Caenorhabditis elegans: one gene and its partners. The protein of the gene in region 3 interacts with the protein of the main gene of each other region in a pairwise test. Each region holds a gene or a part of one and is shown on either strand. Other genes may lie near its edges.

Region 1 (6,893 bases), on a different chromosome or scaffold from region 3:
TGAAGATCCAGAAAATACTACTTACAGTGTGAGTTCTACTACAACTACACGTGGTGTCAGAATGTCCCATATCGGTTTGATCAATGTAGATCTACGAGAATCGCAGAAATATAGACGCAGACTTTTCAACTAATTTCACATTGAGCGGGCTGACGTCACATTTTTTGTAAAAAAATTTCCGCATTTTTTGTAGATCAAACCGTAGTGGGACAGCCTGACACCACGTGCAACTTTTTGGGTTTCGTTTTTTTTTTTTAATTTCAAACTTTCAGGCGGTACGAAACAATGAGTACGGTACGAACTACTACGAGATACGTGGCGGAAAAGAAATGACACCGAAATTGGCGGCCGAAATTATTCAGAGTATGGGAAAAGACGCCGATCCTAGGCTTAAAGTTTGTCTCTTTCATATTTTTTAAATCGAAAACTATTATTTTTACAGGAAAAAATAAATAACAAAGAATTCTACTGGAAAGCCGTCGAACCAGGTGGCTCACGTGTCATTTCTGCTTCACTTCCACCACCGCCTACGCAGAAGAAAGAGCAAACGTCTACGGTGAGAATTTGCGCGTCAAATCTAGTGTTTTCGGTTATTTTTCCTTTGTGGACACAATACACCACATTTGACGCCAAATTTTTAAAGATAATTTTGCAGTTTAAAAATTTGTTGGTACCTTCAAAATGAACCAAGAGATATCCCCTGTCAAAATTTTGCACATGGTGCATCGACTCTGAAAAAGCCAGCTTCCGTAAAATTCCAATTCCCGCTGAAAAATGAGATATTTTTTGAATTTCAAATAATTTTCCAATTTCTGTTATTATGCAAATTTCAAGGTAGATGAAAAGATTCGATTGTGGTGGGACCCGACAATTCTATTATTTATCATTGGAGCGCGGTTACAGAGTTTTTAACTTTTTTAAAAATTTTGCCGATTATCGGTTTGTACGACGAAAATATTCTAACAAAATGAAAAAAAAAAAAAATATTCGTGACTATGGTAGCTTAAATGTTTATATCAATTTAGATAACGGCAGGACCCAACACCAACAATTTATATTTCTTTTAACATTAGAGCGCGCATGCTGACCACTTACCAATTTTCGATTTTTCCAGCCAAGTTCCTATTCCTTCAAGCCATCTGATTTCCCGTGGATTCTTGTCGGATTACTCTTCTGCATTGGAATTTTCATGGGCGTCATGCTTACCGCTTGTTACCATTTTATAAATAATATGCAAAAGGAGCCACAATTCGATCGTTCCAGTGCCATTATATATAATAAAGCTGGCGATAGTGTGGGCTCCGAGAGCCGCCGTCCGATGCTTCCCAGGCGGAGAGAGCAGCAAATTGAGCTTATAGAACGGGCATCTGTGGCACCTTCTATGTCCTGTAAGTTTTTAAAAAAATATTATATTTTTTTCACAAACAAGAAAAATGAAGTTTGCGCGTCAAATCTGATGCATTTTGTGTGTCTTTGCGTACTTTCCGATTGAGGACTCAAAACATCATATTTGGCGCGCAACCTTTGTGTTTGATCTACGGAAAACTTAGTTTTGGCAAATTTCGAACTACCCATTGACTTTCTCAGCCAAAACTGTACAATCCAAAGCTGTCGAAAAAATTAGAGAAAGTTGCAAAATATTCCTGGGTACGGTAGCTAAAATATTTAGATCCTACTGATACCCATTACTCTTAAAATCGCACTTTTTCTCAATTTTAATGGAAAAAAACAATTCAAATAATAGCACAATTAAACTATTTCCAGCTGGAACACGAATAGGCCCTGCGTGGCGGAACACTAATGGGACTCCAGCTGTTATAATCACCACGTCATCAACACCCAGCCGACACATATCGCTTTAACTTGATTTTCACATTCGAAAATTGCAATAAACTTTTGAGTGTAACTCCATCTCAGTATCCCTCTAGAACTACTTGATATTAATGTTCCAAAAATCCAATTTGTGCCATGTGATTGAGAGTTTCTTCCAGCCACCCCTGTTGTCGAGGGAAATTCTAAATTCTAAGCCTAAATTCGGGATTTCGAACTTGAAAACTTTAGAACTTAATGTACAGAGAGTATTTAGCAAAAGAAGAATAAATTAATTGGAAACGAAAAATAGAAATAAATGACATTTTAAAGACGGGTGTGTATGTAAAAAAAATCGGGATCGGATCAGACATCAAATACATGTAAGAAGAATAAAATTAATTTCAGCGTAGGGAAATTGAATCACTCGACTGGGTTGTAGGTGATATCTCTGCCGAGCTCATCGGCAAACTCGTACCACAGCTTGCTCACGTCCATTGGTGGAAGACGAATCTTTTCGGTTGGCGTGATGTGGCACACTGAAATTTGGAGGATGAAAAATAGAAGCGATTAGATTAAAGGTGGCCGGAGATTTCACAAAATGAACCAATTTTTTCATTTATCCGAAGAATTTTTTCGAATAAAAATCGTCTAAAATTTAAATTTTAGACAAAATAAAAGCCATTTTTAGTGAAAAATGGTCCATTTTGTGGAATAGCCGAGCAAAAAGCTTCACGTACAATTGCAGACGCCTCCGGATCCAGAATCCCGATAAGTGGCGTGCATGATCGCACGCAGGCCGAGCTTTCTGGCCTCGTCGTCCGTCATCTTTGGCTTGTAGTGATTATCGAGGATACCGTAGGCATTCAGAGATCCTGAGCCAACTGAGCACACTTTAAGCTGGCAACGATCTCCTTCCGAGTCGACTTTGAAGATTTGTGGTCCCTTCTTATCGTATCCGGCCACCATCGATCCAACTGACAATCCTTGTCCTCTGTATCCATAGAGCGTATTTGCAAAGTACTTGCTCGCGGCGCTCACGGTGATTGAGGTCTTCTCGCGGAGCTCGTACAAACTGAAAATAAATAATTATTTTTGTTTTGAAGCTGAAAATATTGAAACTCACGTGCAGTACTTGGCGACAATTCGGGTCCAGAACTGACAGTCAGCAGCTCCTCCAGCCATCGTGGCAACCATACGATCTCCGATGTCCAAGATCTTCATGACCGACTTGGATGAGATGTATTCACCACTGGAGGCTCGTGAATCGACAGCCACAATGATTCCTCCCTTGTCAGCTGGAGTTGCTGGCTCGTAGACGAACGCCAATGTGGTGGTTCCTTTGCGGAATTGCATGGATTTTCCGGCGGTCTCGGCGAAGTGAGTCTTCATGAAATCGACGGGCTGGATTCCCAACGGAAGCTTCGCGAAAGTGAAATCAGCTCGAGCCGGCTCGGCGATCAGGTTCTGCTTGGCCATTGCCATCTCTCCTTCGTCATTCTCGAAATCGTCGAATGTCTCGCCCCACATCTTTGGAGTTCGATTCTGAAAATTGATTTAACAAAATGAAACAAATGCAATCAATATTGAAACAGAAAAGTATCAACGGAACTGTAGAACAGTAACCGGTAATTAGAAAAAGTAAGAAAATAAATAAAAGATATGGAATTATTAATTTGGCAATAGAGACTAGCAGGAATTTGAATAAAAATACTATTAACAAGGAAAAGGTACACAACTCAACAAATGGGGGAAAATTGAAAAATAATATCACAAAACGGAGAAAATTTAATCTCGCTTGACTGGAGCCCATGCGGCGGCAAGGTGATGCATGAAGTACATGGAGAATCCGTGAATCTGGAGTGCGACCGCGAAGAAGATGTACCATATGATGACCATCGGGAAGATTCCTTTGAATGTCGGTGTGTTGCTTCCCTCCATGTCTTGAGCATACTCCATCAGCTCTGGAAGTTGTCCTCCAAGCCCGATCATGCATGGGAAGATTCCGACGACGAACTCGGCATAGTAGGCGTAGTGGAGGATCTTGAGCTGAAATAAGAAGTTATATTTGTGGCAAATTGATCAATAAATAAATTACTTTGTTTCGTTGGAACGAATAGATGGCGAGGACGATCGGAATGAATGAGAAGCACCACACATACTCCCATGGGTAGGCTGACGGCATGTCCAGTCGATCGAAGAACGCGTTTTTCCATCCGAAATTTGTTCGGAGGAGTTCGCTGCCAACCTTGAGCCACATGAAGACCAGGATCAAGAAGTGTGGAACGAAGAACCACTTGAGGATCGACTTGTATTGAGCGCTCTCCTGGTAGTGCTGTGCGACCCTCTGCCGATTTTGGAAGTCCGTCCCATCGGTACCCGCCGCTCGAACTCCTCGTGATGACATTCCCGCTTGAAGTGAGCTGAAATAAAGATATAATTGAGTTTCAAGTGATTAAAAAGAGAAATTAAGAAGAAACAGCGAAGAATAACATCTGAGCTGAAAGTATAAATTTCACAGGTCCCAATATCGACCAACTCTACACATTCATCAGTATTTCCATAGAAAGAATGAGAAAACTCGTTAAAAAAGCGAAAACCTGCGAAAGATATAGAAAATTTTGTTTTAGTTAGTTTTAGTGATGACAAAAGATGACAAAAAGACGAGTCTCCGCCCCTTTGCAATGCGCGCGCGCGGTTTTCGCAATATCGCCGCACGGAGTTGCCGTTATTTTTCTTTTACTTTCCCGCTGATAAAGAATTAATATTTCCATAATTCTTTCTATTCTGCCAGGCAAAACACTTGAAAATTGTCGAAAGTAAATAATTTATATGTTTGAATAATGTTTATTAAAGTTTCAAATTAAAAATAAAAGAAAAAAGCTCCGTTACATTAACTGAAAAGCAATTTTAAATTATAAAATTGTGAAAAATTCGATAAATTTGTCGAGCGAATCGCGAAAACATTCACAATTCGCTCTCTAATAGTCACCGGTTCGGCTGTATCCGTGTTGTAATCGAATTATTATTCATATTTTTACATTTCCCATTCTCCGACGCGGCTCTTCGTTCCCGAATCATCACCCGAAGCCGTCGCCGCTTCCTGAACTGATCACAGCACACCAAGACGAGCATCGTGAGCACAATCAACGAGAATCCGAGTGCCGCCGATGTTATTATCTCTCGGGAGTAACCTGGAAATTTTTAGATCTTGGATTTTACTGGAAAATGAGCTTACAGTGTTGCTCGTCGGAGAAATCTCCTTCAACACAATTATGGATTCCGTCACAAACGAGAGAGCTGTGAATGCAGAGACGGGACCGTGAAGCGCAAATTCCATGACCCTGAAGTAGAAAAAAGTAATTGAAAATACATGGATTTCAGCATTGTGGCAATTCAATTTGTTAAATATCAAAAATACAAATCACGAAAAGGCTAATTAATTTTTCTTACAAAACAAAATTTATTCTAAATAGGTTCTGTTCAACTTTAGAATTTCTCCTTTTTTTTCGAATATTCAGACTGTCGAATTTATGTTTTCTCCCGTTCAAAAATCAATTTTCCAGCTCGAAACTAGCAAATGTCGTGAAATGGGATGTTTTTGGGTACTGTAGTTCCGTTTGCGTACTTTAGTGACTACACTAACCCAAAATTTTGGATTAAATAAAAAGTTTTGTAATTAAACAACTCTTTTTTTTTGAATTTATGATTCAAGTTAATTTCTAAAAAATAACAAGGAACTACATATAGATTCATTGAAAACATTCTGATTTTTCACAAACCTGTTCAACACAAACTTGTCCCCCATGGCACATAAATTGATCCTTACAAGAATTTCCATTAACACTCTCATCACCTTCTCCAATCAGACCCTCCACTGCAGTCCATACAACTTTAAATCCAATCCTCTCTTCCCCAATCATTGAAGACGGTGGTCCTTCCTGTGTAATAAATCGTACAACAATTCGATTTGCACTTGATAAATAGCTTTTCATTCCCTCTTCTGCATAATACAGCTGACTTCCACAGAATTTTGCTTCAGACGTCTCTGACGTGGATTCCTTTCGATCAATTCCATATTTTTCATGTTTATATCCATCGATTATTGTTAGTGATGCTCGTTCACATTCTGCAATAGTGGGGGCCAAGTGTAAATGAACTATTCGAATGTAGATTCGTTGTCGGGCTTCTACACGGATCAACCAATTACACGTGGAATTCTTCGGATATGTGGTTGGATAGCCTGGTGACAGTATTTCACCTGAATATTATAATTGTATAATGTAGAAGTTTCAGATTTTAAGTTTTTTGAATTTCTTATGGTGTGTCCATAGTCTGCGGAAAACGGGAATTTCCCGCGTGCGGAAGCGTCCATAGTCTGCGGAAAAAAGAAGGAGTTTCTCGCTTTGTTATTGGTCAATTTCAAAATAGTGGGCGTGTCCAACAAATTAGAGGTTGTAAAATTTTAAGCTGAGCAATGGGAAAGCGAAAAAAGACCACGCCTACTTTTTTGAATTTTGAGGAAAAAAAAGCGAGGAAACTACGGTTTTTCCGCAGACTATGGACGCTTCCGCACGCGGGAAATTCCCGTTTTCCGCAGACTATGGACGCACCATTACAGAAATAGTTTTATAGATTTTGAAATTTTGAAATTTCAAAAAAAAAAATCACCTGGTGTCCGAGTATTTTCATTCCACGGCCACGTAGTAAGGTAACAGTTTTTGCAACGTAGCCTAGAAAGAAACAAACCTCGGCCACCAATTAAAGCACTTTTCCTCTTCAAAATTTTTCGAAACATGAAGGTGTCGTGGCCGCGAGCAAGGGTGTCAATTCCCGTTTGTCCCGTTGTCCCGTTTTTGGGGTGTTTTCACGGGAACGGGAATTCCCGCTGTCCCGTTTTTGTCATTTTTACGGGAACGGGACGTCTTTTGTCCCGTTTTTGAGCGTTTTCACGGGAACGGGAATTCCCGTTGTCCCGTTTTTGTAATTTTTACGGGACACTGACACCCTTGGCCGCGAGAATAGGAAACTTGGTCCCCAACTTTTCACGCAGCCATGTGGCAAAAATTTACAAATTTCTTAAA
Region 2 (6,901 bases), on a different chromosome or scaffold from region 3:
TTTAAGCGTGCAGTTTCTTCGGTAACAACTTCTTCAACATTCTGAAATTTAGATAAAATTTTTTTCTAGGAAAATACCATACTTACTCTTTTCAGTGCGTCAATCTTTCTTCCCCTTCTTGTTGGGCGGACATTTTCCGAATATCGATCCCAATCATCTTCTGCGTCATCATTGTTTCGTTTTTTAAGAGTGAAAACGTACGGTTCTTCTGCCATTGCTAAAATAATATGTATAAACTGGCAACAACGACTGACAATCAATTTTTAAAAGTTAAAACAAAAACAAAAAATCTTCAAAATTTCATTTAAAATCGCCGCTGTTTCGCGCATTGCCTCTAGAGCGCGTTTGCACAGAGACCATACAACGTTGAGGAATTTGGGTTTTGAGGATGCGCTATTTGAGAATGCAAAAAATTCAACTCAAGAAATAGAAATAAAATGAGCGATAATTAGCTGAAAACCAAAATATTGACTAAAACGTTGTAGCTTTCTCCACGCCAAATTCCAAGACAGCAAAAATTTGCGTCTTGACTAGAAATTTAAACTTGGAACTTATTTTCTAGATCTTAAATAGTGAGTGATCTATATTGCTTCTTAAAAGTTCGGTTATTGCAGTAACAATTAAGCAATGAAGTTCTTTTAAACTGTCTCAAAACTCTTGACATTACTGTATTCTTTGTTCGTTCCTATTTTCACTTCCCTATTTGAAAACTATGACGACTGACTTATTGAAGTTCTCATGTTTTATGAGTATCATAACTTGTGAGACTATTTTAGAACATAAAATGAAACATTATTCTGAACCTGAACGAGATGAGGTTTCAAATCTTTACTTTCTTGGCTCTACTAGCAGCGGCGATAAACATTGGCGAGGTAGGCATTTAAAACTGATTGGTTTGGTTTTACAGTAGTATTCAACAAAATTAATATGCATTTCAAAACTTGAATTTTTGTCATTTTTTAAATTCTATTACCGCTATAAATATTTCCAATAAATTTGTTTTTGAAGGGCGCAAAGCCATGTCGAGCCAAACGTCCGACCACTGAACCACCATCAACAACTACAGTGGAGAGTTCAACAACTCGTGATTCAAAAGCACCTTGTATGGCAGTATTTGAGAATATGAAAGAAGAAGAAGATGGTTTTGAAGATTATGCAATGGGAGTTACAACTGCAGCATCAGTACCAGAATGTAGTAAAACTTGTGAAACTGATGTGAAATGTGCATACAGTTTCTTTAAAACTAACAAGTGTTACGCTTTCGAGAGATTTAGACCAACTGATTTTGTGAAGAATGGAGGGATGCCACTTATTTTCAAGGTGAATACGGGATTAAACTCTGTGACGACAGCCACTAAACGACACGTATGTAGGTAGTAAACATGCCTGGGATAGGCATGATGCAGGCAGGAGGTACATAGGTATACGCTACGCTAGCATATAGGAGGTAGGTAGGCATGACGAAAGAACGTAAGCAGAAACGAGCTGAGAATCAAGCAAGGCACCTAGGTAGACGTAACGTAGGGAGTTAGACAGGTCTTCCTGTTTTGAAAAATTTTAAAACAGGACCGCAAATGTTCGGAAACAGGTAAAGCCGGCCTTCTGAAGCACTGATGCTGAGCTATAGCATATACATATCTTAAAATTAAAAATTATTTTTCAGCTATATCTCAACGGGACGGTCACATGTGACACTGCTACAATTGATGAATTGGCAAATACGAAGGAGAAAATGTACTATCCAGATGGTGGATCTTATTGGCTTTTCAAAAGTATTTTCGATAATTATTCTCTCAGTGTTAAAGATCCAGCCATGGGATATAAGAGAAGAAAGAGAAGTATTCTTTCGTGGTTACTCAATTTCTAATAAAGTTTTGTGTCGCGTTCAAAATGTTGAGAATTGGTAGTTTTTAAATTTTTAACTCGTGAATTACAGGATTTTTGTTGGGCAATAATAACAATTGAATGTTTTTAATGCTCAAATGAGCACAGAAACGTAACAAAACACATTGAACATACGAACGGACAAATAAAATTTAAAGTAAATTTCGAACCGTTTATCAGTAAAACTTTGATGGTAGAGAAATTATAATGAAAATAATTTAAGAAATTCGATTAAAAACAATGTACAATCAGAAATCTATCTGGTTTTGGATGACTCTCTGAGTTCGACGTTCTGCTTGTCTGCGAAGTAAGCTTTATCGTAGAGATAATCAGCAGCTCCTTGAATGATGATTCTTGTCCTGTAAAGTAAACAGTTTATACAGACAGATTTAAATCAATGGTTTTTAAATGTTATCTTCTGAAAGAAAGTTTTGAAACTTGAAACTCATTTTCAACATTTGTTTTATTGGGAGTTTCAAAATCTATTAGAGAAAAGTTCGCATTCTTAGAAAACTATAGAAACCATGGAAGTTCATGTTTTAGGTTCATAACATAGAATTATAAATTAATTAAAGTTAATCTATTAAAATCCAGGCATTTTAATTCTCACCAAATAGCAATTGCAGCAGTGAAGAAAGAAACAACAGCAATGTTGAATGGCCAAATTGGTCCGTAATCTTGTTCAATTCGATGAACTTTTCCAAATATTCCAAAGACTTGTCTTGTGAATTGAATTCCAAAGGCCATGCAAACAATAGAAATGACCGCCCAGATCAGGAGGAAACAGATTATAAACTGAAATTTAATAAGGAATTAAAAGTTTATAGAATAATTAAAGTAGCCGGAAACTTTTCGGAATGAAGGGAAGACTTACTTCAATAAATTTCAATTTTGATCCTAGCATCTGTGGATTTTCTTTCCAAAGTCCAAATGCCATTAGAGCACTTGTTAAAAGAGAAAGTACCGTAATACCAGCTTGAATATAAAACAACCATTTTCCAATTGAATCCGATTTGTGGCTCATTACTGAAAATTGTTTTCTTAAAACTTTAATTTCTAAGTTTTGTGAAATACAACTATTTCTGAACTTCCAATCAACTAACCGTAAAAACAAATAGCTCCAGTTCCCATAACAAGGAATTCAATAAATGCAGAAATGTACGAGGCAGTTGTATAATGCATTGAATTACACGTGGCAGGGGCATAGTAGAATTTGTCATGTGGAGAGTATACAAAGTTTGGAGGCAATGGAGCCACCCGGTCGTTTGGCATGATTTACTGTAAATGTTATAGAAATCAAATTTCAAAAAAAAGAAATATGTGGAACGCTTCGTCAGAATAAGGGCTTGAAACATTTATTCTAATCTTTGAGTGGAAATGTTTAACTCAGAAAAATTCCCATTGGGTTTAAGTGTTCCAAACTGATTGTGAGATGATTATAAAATGTTTAAATTGACCTTAAATGTACCTAATGAAAAGCGGAGAAGTTACCGTATTTTTTCTACATATTAATATGGCAGGCAATACAAGATTTTTACAAATTTGAGCTTGAAGTTACTGGTTTGTAATTACAAAAGATCACATGTTATATAGAAATCAATAAAAAACATTATAATTTGGTTTTCTTGTGAAATAGAAAGCACTTATCAAAACTTGGATGAAAATCTCATTAATATTTTCGACTTATTGAGCTGGCTTTCGCAAGTGTGTTGAACTTAAAAATTCACTAATCAGTAGAAAAACATTAAAAAAAATTGAATACCACTTCAAAAAAATCGATAAGGAAATATATGGATCAAAGTGAAAGACGAATGGTGTGTCTGTTGCCCGAAACGCATTCTCGTTCCTTTCCTTTTCCCAATTGTCCGTGTTGCCCTAGATATCCAGAGAAGAGATGTTCCGATTGTATTGAGATTAAGTGGAGGATCGAGAGAAATAAGAAAATGACCCGCTTGTGTGAGAGGGATTGTATCCGATTTGTGAATTGCGGAGAATGAATGAAGTACAAGGGTATTTATGGCGTCATCGCATATCATAAATGAAATACCACAAGTGATCTGGAAACCTGCGAATTATGTGCAAAAGATTCGTGTTACATGACAAATTTCATGAACTTGTCTGCAAAAGATTTCAGTATAAACACTTTCAAATTTGTAAAAAAATCGCCGACAGTGAAAACACTATCAAATGGCATAGTTTTCATTCAAAAATCTAATTGTCAGCTGAAATACTTGGCTTGTTAGGCAAAGCCCCCACTGACTATATTTTATATTTATGTCGGAAATATGTAGAACTACCGTAGTATTTGTGAAATGTCAAAAAAAAATCGCAAAACGACCAATAATAAATTGAATTATCGTGTTTTTCTCGAATTGTATTTATTAAAATTATTGAACAGGATGGCATATTTTTGTAGCATTGATTTTCGTTTTCAGAGGATATACAAAAATAAAGAGAACCTCTCCTTGTATACTTTCAGTAAAACATTGATGTACTGAAATTTCAATTTACTTTTTAAAAATTGTGAAATGAATAGGTTCTACTGCTCGGAATAAGAAAATTATATGGAAATTCAAATGGAATAACCTATCTGGTTTGTGGATTGTTTCCGTCATTCTTCTCGTAGTATGGCTGCAATACAACTTTTCAGACATTTTTTGTTTACGATTGCTAGGGTTACAAAGATTTGGTGGATTTTCAACAAAATGTTTTTAATAGAGCCAAAAAACAATAATTCCAACTAGTAAGTGAAAGTGTATTATTGAAAAATAATCAACAAAAACCTTTGGTAGAATATTAAAATTAGAGAGTTTGTTTTCTGAATATGTTTATTTTCAAATGAAGTTTTTCCTTATTCTTGCTGTCTTCGCCTTTGTTTTTTTATGTAAAAACTTCTTCTAAAGAGTTTTTAAATTTCTTTTTTGTTAAAAAAAAAGAGTTTCATCATAGTTTTTGATATTTAACTTTCCATTGATTGACTCATCTGATCACTTATTGCTTCAAACTTGTTCGTTTCTCTCTCAAAATCTTCAACTGATCACAAACCATTCTTCCTATCTTTTCCGCCCTCATCTGTTGTTTTCACTAGAGGCTCCCTTTCATTCATTGGCTCTTCAGGCGCCGGAAATCTCGACAAAAGTACGAAATAGTTAATGAAATTGAGAGAAACAGATAGTGTTCCAAAGTTTGCGAGGGTGGATGAGCGGCGCCAGAGATAGAAAAGAAAGGAAGAAGCAATGGAAGATGTGAATAAGATTCTACTTTTTTTTTCTCTTTGTTTTTGTTTTGTTATCATTTGATTGTTATTTGGAAAAAAGTGTCATCTGCAAAATGAATAGAGGGGTCGCAGTGTGAAGGTCCAGGAAATACAGTATCCAGGATTACTGTACTCAAACACATAACCAAATATACATGTTTGAAAACTTTCAGTCAAAGTTTTGGCAAATTGCCAAACTTTAAAATAATTTGAGCTTTTCTAGTCAAAAGATATTTCAAATATGAAATTTGTAGATTACGATAGGTGAATTACGATAGGAGCAAATGCCACTTTTTACAGTAAACTTTGAATAAAAAAATAAATTTTGACTAACTACATCTGATGATTAGATTTCTTCTTGTCGTGTTCATTCTGTGAATCTCAAAATTTTGAGCACTATGTACAATGAAGAAACAGACTAGAAGGGTCGATAACTTTAGACTTTGTATAAAAGGGAAATAACCAGCATCAGGAAAAACAGAATTCTCCTTTTCTAGATTTCACAGCATCGTTTGGAAGGTTTCTCACATTATTCAAACTTCAACAGTTTTCAGAAAACCTTTGCAACAGTCGGACAAAATTTAAAGTCATCATAAGATGACCCTCGACACGGATTCAGGACCAAATCGACATTTAAACCAAAATTAGCAATATTGTAGTCTTCATTAATATTTAAAAAAAATTTAACGGTCACTCTAAATATAGTTCAGAGCTGTATTGTTTATTTGTAGTTTCGTTCACTCCCTCTCGCACTCAAACCATTTTTCAACATTCTTCACTCATTGAATTGGGGGAACTCTCTCCCAAAAAACCCCCAGCCAGACGAGGAACGAAAGAGTCTAGTTGGTATTTGTTGACCATATCATCCACCCTTCTTTTTTCAGTTTCTATGTGTGTGTGTGCAAACTGTCGTTTTTCTATTTTTCTCTGCGTGCTCTTCTCACTTGGCTTTCTCGTTTATCCTGTGACTACTGTCATGATTCAATTGAAACGAAATACTCCCTCAAGTTTTTTCTCTGTATTTTGAGCTTGGTGTTGCATTTGTATCTATAGTTTGATTTGCAATTTCTGACCGATATTTGAGGGTTTGCTTTTGACTTTTCAATTTATAGCTCAAAGAAAATTCCAGAAAAATCAATGTATATCCGTAGACAAAAGCAGGGTAGAGGTGGGGAGGCGAAAGGGGCAAGATACCTAGGAGTCTGAAGTTCTATCTTTTAAGACAAAGTAGCCTCAATCTGTACTTTGTTTCTTTCCAGACCTCACATCTACACATGACCCCGAACAGGCGGTTCATTTTCGATCTCAGCTGAAAAGAGCTTTCGTTTCTTTCTCAAGATTTCCTCGAAATATCCACGAACCCCCACCTGATCGTTTATTTGTTCTTCTTCTTTCATCCATCTGTTCCTTTTCAACTATTTTTCAAACCTCAAAAGAGCATAAAAAGACAGTTCTATGCTTCCAAAAAATAGCTCGAACATGATCTATTGTCTCTCTTCGGGAGACCACCTGATTCTGTGAACAAAATTATTTATACGGGCGACTCAATTCGTTATTTGCACTTTTCCATCGTCTTTCCCGCCAAAAACCATGACCTTTTTATGACGTGTACTTTTTTCTTGAAAAGACACATTTTTGTACGGTTTTTGAACAGGCCAAGTGGAAATCTTTTGTGCTTTTCGGGGAAACACTTGGAAAAAGCAGATGCATGTCAGAAGACACAACATTTTGAATTGTGACACGATAAATGTGTGAAAGTAG
Region 3 (9,866 bases):
AGTCTGGAACTTGAGAGAGTTGTCTACAATGAGACCTAAGTCTCTCGTGCATTTTGACTCCATTATAACCTGCTCATTAATCTAGTATAAAGAGGAGGACAGTAATTGAGTCAGAACATTTCTTAATGATGAGGAAGTTTATATTATCTATTTTGATGGTAACTCAACAAGTTATGTTGACCATATAGGACAGTAGGCTGAATTCTGTAACCACCCACCAATCAATAAATATTTTCAGAGTATCTTCATACAATTTGGCTTGTGGATTTGAATCGTCTTCGAACATGATGTCTGTTAGATTCAAGACAAATTATGATCTTACCGATAAAGGATGGTTGGCGACGTGGAAGGCAATGAAGAATATGCCAGTTATAAGTCAAAGTGGATCAAATGGGGCAATGATTTCACCCAATTATCCATTAACCTATGATTCATACGATGAACAAGTCTATCAAATAAGTGTTGCCTGGGGAATGCAGGTCAATTATCAATTGATGTATTCCGAACGCAGAACAAAAATGATTATTTAAATATTTATAACAGCACTACACAGTCGAATAGTACTCTTGTAACCACGTAAGTTTTTACTTTTTAATAAATGACGGGTTGGTACGACCATCTGAAGACGTGCCTGTCTACTATAAAAGTTTCAATTTTCCTCATTAATAATATTTCTAAATGTGTTTTTAAAAAACTATAGATACAACAACGACGTGACTTACATTTCTGAACTAATTGAACTTTTCCAAAATTGTTGACTAAAAGAATTGCTATCAATGTTTGAAAATAGTTTAATCACTTTTTATTGCTCCCTCTCGAGTTTATCGACCCTTCACCATTTTTAAATTTTGAAAATATTAGACTATGAATACAATAGCACGGAGCAAAACCAAACTTCACAATTTTCTCGTTAAAAATAGTTTAAATATACCAATCAATATTCCACTCATTCAGATTATCCGGACAATCGGTAGCTCCATTCAACTACATTTCTCCAAGAAGCTACATGTCAATGAAATTTGTATCTGATGGATCACTTCAATACACTGGATGGCATGCATTTTGGAGCATTTGCTAGTTGAAATTCCCTAACATTAAATTCGATTCAATTTGATCGAAATACGACTAGTGATCAGTTACATTTGTAGTGAAAATGTTTTACAGAATTTTTCATTGACGCACACAGTGTGCATACAATAAATATCAATCAAAACAAATTTGAATCGTTTGAAAAACTTTGAGTAATACATTTTCTTTCTTCGAGTTTACTAAAATTTTAGGTCAGCTTCTCATTACCAGAAGCTAGGGTATTTATACTTTTTCTGACAACATCTACAATATTTGTCCTACCATAATTCAAAACTCTCAAAAGTATTATGACGTCATCTATTTTCATGTACAAAACTTGTAAATGTATATGTTTTTCTGTTTTAACAACTTCTACGTCTTCTCGTTCGTCCAGAAGTTTCTCCGATTTCTGATCTTGGAATGTTTTTGTCGTCGATTTATGTCGTAAAGAGCATCGTCATCAAATATCCAATTACTAATAATATGCCCTTTTCTTTCGGATCATGAACCAAAATTGGAGAAAAAAAATGTAGTAGGGGGTGTGTGACTATCATCTGTTTATGTCGGTGTCAAATTTCGTTCATTTTTTCATGTTTTAAGTTTTTGATTCCGTGACAAATCCGACAAATTCCGAACAAAAAATCAAACTTCCAAACGTGGAAAATAAGGAACTGATCATATTTCAGACTGGGAAACTTTGTTCCATCAAATTGGTCAGAGAGAGATCCAATTACCAAAAACGTGGAAAGGAACTTTCTATGAACTTTGGCATAAGATTATGATTTTCTGAAATAGAAAAAAATGTTGTGTCAATTTGGAAAGCCGAAATGTTGTCTTTACGATTTTTATTGTTTAATTTTGTTTTAATTTTCGAAAGTCACAATTTTTGAAAATTTGGCAATTTTCCAAAAATTCCGCTGAATTCTTTGAAAAATCTTTGCAGCAAATTGTCGTCTTGGGTCCTCGCACGAACAAAACTTCTCACCTACCGTAACCCTGCTGCTTTTGCATCCTGGGTACGGTAGTTTGAAAAAACTTTGTTCGTGTCAGGACCTTGTTTCGTAATATGAAGACTCTTATCAAAAATAAAATTTGATAACCTTATTACTAAATTATGAAACTCAAGTTTCAGAAAAAATTTCCAATTTTTAAACATAAATTTCAAAAAAAAATTCCTGATCTGTATGTCTGTTAGTCTAGATGTCGGGAATTCTTCTTTAAAAGTATATCCCCATTTCCTTATCCTCCAGACAACTTCTTCTCAAGTTTCTCCACCCTCTGAATCTCGTGATTCCATTAAAACTCGGCGCCGCCCATTTCCACTTTTCCAGAATGCTTCCAAAATCAGAGCTCCACCCTCGGTTTGTCCTTGGATTTAATACATTTTATTTGCCCGTTCATTTGGACTTTATCACAATTTCCAGCACTTCTAACAATGTCACTGCATTTCTCCACTATTCAAAAAACAATTCTTCTAATCTCATTCTTGCTCCTCGTAACATTGGCTCCCAGAACAAGTGCAGCTTTTCCATTCCAAATTTGTGTCAAAAAAATGGAAAAAATGTGCAGAATCATCAATCCAGAGCAGTGTGCACAAGTAAATAAAATCACTGAGATTGGTAAGTTGTTGAGAAAATAATTTTTTAAAAGTTCCTATTCAAAATGAAATTTTCAGGAGCATTGACAGACTGTTGCACCGGACTGTGCTCCTGGGAAGAAATCCGGATCTCCTGCTGCTCCGTTTTATAATATATAATTCGTCGTTTTGCCTTTTCATTGAATTATTTTGAATTTTGTAAAATGGAATAAATGGACAGATTTGTATACAAGAGAATGTTACACGTACAATAAAAGTGAGTGCGCTGGAATGAGAAAAAAGTAAAAGGGGACTAGAAGACATGTGATGTGACAAGTTGTTACAAGGATAAAGGCACATAAAATCAGTAAAAAATCTATACAAAAATACGTCTTATAGATACAAAAATTAGTACATTTCAGGTACTAGGTACCGTACTTCCTTTCAATTTCTGTTTCCTCCTTGAGAATCATTATGGCAGTAGAGATGTGCCAATCGACCATCCGGATACCGGACAAATGCGCTTACAGCGATTTTCTTCTCACAAACAACACATTCACTTGAGAAATTGACGATGATTTTAGTAGATTGCGCCTTGTTTTTGCGCTCCAGCTTCTTTGACATTGCACATTGGGACACAGATTTTTCCATTTTTCGCTGAAAATTTTCTAGATATAAAGCTTAAAGATTGGAGGTTTTGTAAACAATTTTATCTACGTAGAGTATACGCAACAGTTTGATCATTGAAAGTGTGTTTAATTCTGTAAACATCCTAAATTCAACCGGAAATTCGATCAGAGTCCAAGATATTGCTTATTGTAATTTCACAAAATTTGACATGCCTGCTTAAAGGCGCATAGTCTTTTTCAAATGGGTCTCTACGCGCAAAAAAGTTTAATGTAGTCTTTTTTTTTCGGCTGCTCTCTCGCCGATTTCCTTTTTTAAAAAGATAAATTATATGTTTACGTTTCATTTTCTGATAAAAAATTATTAAAATCAATTTTTAAAGTGAAAAATATGTTTTCCAATTTAAAATGCGCATTTTTTCTGTTTGTAGGCCTTAAAAAAATATTAAGAAAAAATTATGAAAAAGCTCAGGGAAAATAAAAGATAACGCAGCTGCAAAAAAGACTACCATAAACTTTATTGCGCGCCAAGACCCATCTGAATACATTCGTGCGCTTTCAAGAAGGCATGTCAAAACCTTGGACAATTATAATAGAAAAGAAAATAATGAACGCATCTCTGAAACTTACAGTGCTCGCTTGTCGTCCGGTAGTTTGAATCACCGCGTTAATTGCCGAGAACACGACTCTGAGCGGAGTGGTGGCTGGAAGCATATTCAATGCTCCAACTGTATCGATTTTATCTGCATGTTTTGCCAGAATCTTGATTGCTGTATTGACATCTGGTTGATACGATGATGTAGAGTTGACTAACGTTGATGCTTCAGAAACATCATCACGATATGATCCGAATGGAGTCGAATCGGCGTGATAAGGAATCGAGTGCAGTTGTTGCTGATTTGGATGTACCAGAGTTCGGAAGAGCATCAGATACACCTGTGAATTGGTCTCATCGTGTGCATTGTAGTAGAGTCTACAGTACTCCTCTGCTGCAGGCACATTCTTCAGTGTATTCACATATATAGCAAGCGCCTGCTCGTGTTGTTTCAGTCGTCCAAGAATCAGAGCTCTTTCCTCGTAAAATGCATGTGGTGCTAGTTGAAGAAGCACTGTTTGTGGACTGTATGAATGGGAAACTTCGAGAAATTTCAAAAGTCGTTTTCGGTAGAGGCCCAGCTCGCCATCCTCGTCTCCCGCGCGAGTGATATTCTCATCTGAAAATGCTTTTAGAGGTTGTATTTTTTTTTTGTTGTGCTATGAATCAACATACCGTCTGGGAAAGCGTGTACATAATCCTTAAACAAAGTGTTGACTCGTGCCACATAGAATTCCAAAAGTGTCTCGTGAAAATATGAAGAAGGTTCTTCCCATTTGAAAATCACGTGCTCCAAGTACGGAATCAGTGCATCCGGGCATTCGGATTTCAAAAATTCCACGACGGCTTTTCGATTTAAATTTCTAGCCATTTCTGTTTCGTCACTAGTGAATATTTGAACTCCGGCTTCCAAATTTTTGGCTAGTACCCATTTTGCGTACTTTAGAATTAGTGGCAAATTGCTATTTCCAAGACTTTGAAGATATTCGACAATTTGTTGAATAGCATCATCGAAAAATGGATCAGCATCCGGGCGGCTAGATTGATCGATAAACAAATCGAGAGCCATTTCATGCTTTTTGCGGGTTTCGTAAAGAATGAATAAAGATCGGAGACGTCCTTCAGATTCGAGGATCTTCTTTGCATCCTCAAATGTGCACGCGTTGCTTTGAAGACGAATTAGAGAATCCACAAGCATTGGTTTCGTCTGAAATTTTAATTTGTTTTAATTTTCCATAATTATTCGAAAAACCTTAATATAACACTTTAGAAGTGTTGTATCTACAACTCTCAATGTCAACAAGAGCTTTGCCTTCTCATCTTCATCAGTTTTCTTTGCCGCTCCCGATGAGTACAAACGATTGTATAATTCAATATGCTTCGCGTGTTCAGTTCGAATTTCAGATAGATAACTACCGAGAGCCAAAAGAGCACGCATTCTGTCGTTAGCAGGCATATCACTGACAACTCCGGTCATTGATTGAAATCCATCTGGAAGAAGCTCGGGAAACATTCGAATAATTGAGAGCACTTCTGAAATATCTCAAAAAAAATTTTAATTTTCTTATGTGAAATGAAGCACTAACCGGTTTTAATTTCTCCAAATAATGCGAATGACTCGTCAAACTTCTTCTGATTGAATAAATTCAATGCAGCCTTCTTTTTAATTTCTAATTTCTGTTCTTCTGCAAATAAATTCGAATTTTCAGCCAATTGAATTGCTAGCTCGAAATGACGTTCCTGTATCAAATGAGACACGTTTTTTCGAAGATTTTGTGAAGTATCAAGAATCCAAATATCGGAAAGAGCAGCGACGAACACTTGTCCACGAGCACCACTGCAGAGTGTCATAGCCTTCGGGAGGGACATTGTCTGTACAAGTTGACCATCGAAAATTGAACGAACTTCGACGCGGCCTTTTGAGAGCATTCCAACCAAGTAAGGTGAATCGTATACTGGAAATTTATAGGTAACTAATTAAATAATTTAATTCCACAATAAAGTTACCGATTTGCATGGGAACTTCGCTGAACTTGTACTCGTCACTTAATACATTTGCCGGACGTTGTCCCCAAATATCAGTGGTTACAACTATTTCATTCCTCACAAATGCAACTCTTCTTCGATCGATCATTGGCACAATGCCAGGCTGACAGTTGAAATTTAAAAGACGAGTTACAAAACCATTCCATCCTTCCGGAGTTGAACCTTCACTTGGCGAAGTGGTTGTCTTATCTTTTTGCATTGTCATAGAAAAATACTCGTTTCGAACAGAAAAGAATACCATTTCACCAACGCATCTGTAATTTATTCTATCTTTAATTTGTTTCATAAACTTTTGTACCTTATAGATGTTGGAGTATCCAAGAAAACTGGATTATAATCCAATGCAACTTCTATAAATTCTTTGTGGCCATCTTTCTCTCCCCATTTGAATAAATATAACTTCTTTCGTGACGAAACAATTACGTACAGGTCTCCAGATGTCTGAAAACAAAAATATTGAATAGAAAATTCGGAAAGTTTCCAATGAACCTTGGGTGAAAATCTTGCAAAAGTCTGAACAGGCTTCACTTTGTGAATTAATGTTTCAACTTTATACTCTGGATCGCTGAGCTTGTGAGCCATCAATTGACCGTCGGACACGCACAAAAGGAGATCTTCACGTTGGCAAACTTTCAGTTCCATTACTGCTTTCTTGTGAAAGCTTTTGCAGATATTTGTGAGCTCGAATCCACGACGATCTGTAATTTATCAATATTTAGAAATAGATTTCTTGACGATTAAATATTACTAGCTGAAATTGTGTATGCATAGAGATGTCCTGCTCTTCCACCGGCTAACAAGGTTTGATTCGATTCTGAAAGCAATCATGATTGTAAATTCCAGTGATTTGATATTGAAAACCTTGAAATGCAAGACATGTTACTTCTACGGGTAATCGGAGAGCTACTTCGCAAGGCGTGTATGCATCGTACATTTTGCTTTGGTGGGTCGAAGTACCTGAAATGAAATTAAAACTGAAAATTATGACAGTAATATAGAGAAGAATAAATTTTCGCAAATAAATAATGCCGAATAATCAAAACAATTATTTGTGTCTCGAAAAAACAGACTTCAAATTATCGTTCCCGAAGAGGGGGTACGCTTTCGTAAGGGGATTTTTTCGTAAGGAACGCTTTCAGTAGGGCAATGTGCGGCGCGCCTTTTCGCAAGCCCGCCGCACAGTCCTTCGCAATCGATTCGAAATCGATTGAAACCCGTTTTTGTCATCGAAAATTCTGAAAATATCCGTATTTAGCTCGAATAAAACTAATTAATTTCCATTAAAAATCCGTTTTTAATTGAATTCCGTTCGAAATTTCCTGTTGGAAAAATAAATAAATAAATACGAAGAAGCGTGCGGCGCATTGCAAAAAGCCGTGCGGCGCATTGCGAAGGACTGTGCGGCGGGCTTGCGAAAAGGCGCGCCGCACATTGCCCTACTGAAAGCGTTCCTTACGAAAAAATCCCCTTACGAAAACGTACCCCCTCTTCCCGAAGTGCTCGACGAGTAAACGCGCTCCATTGAACACTTTTTTCGCGCGCATTCAAATTTAGTTTTTTCATGCCTCCAATATTTTTGTATGGAAAATTGATCGTTTCGCACTGAATTTGTAAATTTTGGAAGAAAATTTTTAACCAAAAATGCTGAAAAAAAAAATTAAAATTAAATTCTTGAAAAAAAATAAATTTTTTTCACATTCCAAAAATCACAGATAAGACTACAAAATATCATGAGGGCCACTCCTCGGAAAAAGCTGGGAAAAAAGACAATATTCAAGTCGACTTGGAAACATTCGTAGCCTGTTTTTTTTCAGGAATCGAAAATCAGCAGAACTCTACACATCATCAGTGCATTGAGAAGACAATATAATACGTTTATAAATTGGAAAATTTATTATTAATATTATTCACTTTATTATAATTAAACTTAAAAAAAATAAATATTAACAAAGTTATTAAGAGAGCGGACGCATTTTGTGCAGTGGAGGTGGGTCGCCCTTTTCTGCAAAATCCAGGAGTTCGAGACGAAGAAGTGGATGAAGAAGGCGGTGGAGGTGGACTATCTGAAAATTTTCCAATTTAAAAACCTAGGGGAGACTGAATTTTCGGACTTTTACATAAATCTGACTGACCAAGAGAAAAAAATCCGATTTTTGTAGGAAATCCAGGAGTTCGAGATGAAGAAGTTGATGAAGATGTTGGTGGTGATGAAATATCTGAAATGTTTTAATTTAAAAACCTAGGGAAGGCTGACTTTTCGGATTTTTACATAAATCTGACTGACCAAGAAAAAAAAATAGGGGTTTTGGCAGATCCAGGAGCTGGAGACGAAGAAGCTGATGAAGATGGTGGACGTGGTGGACGATCTGAAATGTTTCAATTTAAAAACCTAGGAAAGACTGAATTTTCGGAATTATACATCAATTAAACTGACATAGAGAAAAAATCCGATTTTTGTAGAAAATCCCGTCGTTCCAGGCGAAGAAGTGGATGAAGGTGTTGGTGGTGATGGAATATCTGAAATGTTTCAATTTAAAAACCTAGGAAAGACTGACTTTTCGGAATTATACATCAATTAAACTGACATAGAGAAAAAATCCGATTTTTGTAGAAAATCCCGTCGTTCCAGGCGAAGAAGTGGATGAAGGTATTGGTGGTGATGGAATATCTGAAATGTTTCAATTTAAAAACCTAGGAAAGACTGACTTTTCGGAATTATACATCAATTAAACTGACATAGAGAAAAAATCCGATTTTTGTAGAAAATCCCGTCGTTCCAGGCGAAGAAGTGGATGAAGGTGTTGGTGGTGATGGAATATCTGAAATGCCCCTCTACTGAACCGTCAATTCTTTCAAACAGCAATGTCTACAATCAGAAGCCAGCGAATCGTGATCTATATTCCTCGGTGATGAAGAAGAACCCTGTGCTGAAGAAAGTTGTCGAATCGATTAATCTGGTATCTACTGCTCATTCCTTTGAGAAGAAATCGAATCTAGCTGTTCTGGAAAACCTGCCCGATGCGAAAAACCCGGATCAAGTTAGTTCCGATTTTAATCTGGTTAAATCTTTCTCCCTTGAATTCTCTCTCCCTGTTCCCACTGAAGTTTTTAGAGTTGCTACCAAAAATTCCAAAATCATTTCCCGGCCAACTAAAGTTCGTTTCAATTCTGAATCCCTTCGCGATGAATTTCTTACCGGTTTCTATAAAAATTGGCGCAACTTTTCCTCTATTCCGCAATCTCCTCGACCGATCCGTGCGCGTAGGGACTTGACTCCCCTCGAGCTTGTCGCGCTTCGTGAACTCCGTAAGGAGGCCTACGAAGCGAACCAGGCTGCGGGCTGCATTGCGCACGTTATCCGGGATCTTGAAATTGTGGACCTGATCTATCCTCGTCCTTTTCCGATGAACCCAATTTCAATCCCTCTCGCCGCATAGGGAGACGGCCGCCTGACACTGAATGATTTAACGCCTCTTTCAAATGACATCCCAACACAACAAACATCACAATTAAATACAAAACTTAAACATAACTCAAAGGCGGCTCTCGTCTGTGTTTCAAAGCCCAAGCTGGTTAATTGCATGTAGGCTAATGCTCGTTCCATTGCATCGCTTGAAAAACTTGAATTTGTCCATAAGTTCGTAGCCTCTAATAGTTTAGACATCTTGTTTGTTACCGAAACATTTCTAAGTAATGCTTTTACTGATTTCTCATGCTCTTCACCTCACTATACCTGCATAAGATCTGATCGGCTTGAGTGCCATCCAAAAAATGCGGCGGAGGTACTGCTGTGTTTTTTCATAAAAAATGGGCTCTTACGCCTGTCTCAATTGCACCTTCCTTTTATCTCTCGCATTTTTGTCAAATTCTGGCATTAGACCATAAGCAATCCAAAACTAGATTTATACTGATATACCGCCCCCATCCACTACCGCAAGTAGAACCGCTGAGCTCT

What was found. Proteins that work in one complex are often made in the same cells at the same time.
Region 1: the proteins of vps-39 (region 3) and pbs-5 interact in a two-hybrid assay, tested with the Caenorhabditis elegans proteins (2 studies listed by BioGRID).
Region 2: the proteins of vps-39 (region 3) and cuti-1 interact in a two-hybrid assay, tested with the Caenorhabditis elegans proteins (one study listed by BioGRID).

Annotation. Positions count from the first base shown.
Region 1 is NC_003279.8:14,717,124-14,724,016, forward strand, and holds pbs-5 (Proteasome subunit pbs-5), read right to left. Parts: upstream 3,355-6,893; 5' UTR 3,340-3,354; coding exon 2,936-3,339; intron 2,885-2,935; coding exon 2,550-2,884; intron 2,349-2,549; coding exon 2,233-2,348; 3' UTR 2,044-2,232; downstream 1-2,043. Other genes in the region: Y54E5A.8 (Conserved plasma membrane protein), read left to right, coding at 1-28, 273-395, 443-556, 1,115-1,388, 1,765-1,862; K05C4.2 (Protein jagunal homolog), read right to left, coding at 3,598-3,858, 3,908-4,216; sol-2 (CUB domain-containing protein), read right to left, coding at 4,798-5,003, 5,048-5,153, 5,592-6,070. UniProt on the Caenorhabditis elegans protein: Component of the 20S core proteasome complex involved in the proteolytic degradation of most intracellular proteins. This complex plays numerous essential roles within the cell by associating with different regulatory particles.
Region 2 is NC_003279.8:6,400,848-6,407,748, reverse strand, and holds cuti-1 (Protein cuti-1), read right to left. Parts: upstream 3,163-6,901; 5' UTR 3,157-3,162; coding exon 2,988-3,156; intron 2,911-2,987; coding exon 2,759-2,910; intron 2,680-2,758; coding exon 2,495-2,679; intron 2,244-2,494; coding exon 2,141-2,243; 3' UTR 2,044-2,140; downstream 1-2,043. Other genes in the region: san-1 (BUB1 N-terminal domain-containing protein), read right to left, coding at 1-41, 87-215; ZC328.5 (Apple domain-containing protein), read left to right, coding at 813-872, 1,009-1,320, 1,664-1,867. UniProt on the Caenorhabditis elegans protein: Involved in cuticle formation and ensures cuticle shedding during larval development. Plays a role in maintaining the hypodermis. In association with vps-39, may play a role in vesicle tethering.
Region 3 is NC_003283.11:14,031,505-14,041,370, forward strand, and holds vps-39 (Vacuolar protein sorting-associated protein 39 homolog), read right to left. Parts: upstream 6,869-9,866; 5' UTR 6,846-6,868; coding exon 6,773-6,845; intron 6,726-6,772; coding exon 6,660-6,725; intron 6,610-6,659; coding exon 6,401-6,609; intron 6,353-6,400; coding exon 6,210-6,352; intron 6,166-6,209; coding exon 5,873-6,165; intron 5,821-5,872; coding exon 5,452-5,820; intron 5,408-5,451; coding exon 5,118-5,407; intron 5,073-5,117; coding exon 4,541-5,072; intron 4,494-4,540; coding exon 3,901-4,493; intron 3,302-3,900; coding exon 3,089-3,301; 3' UTR 2,819-3,088; downstream 1-2,818. Other genes in the region: ins-10 (INSulin related), read left to right, coding at 2,504-2,687, 2,744-2,817. UniProt on the Caenorhabditis elegans protein: Plays a role in vesicle-mediated protein trafficking to lysosomal compartments including the endocytic membrane transport and autophagic pathways.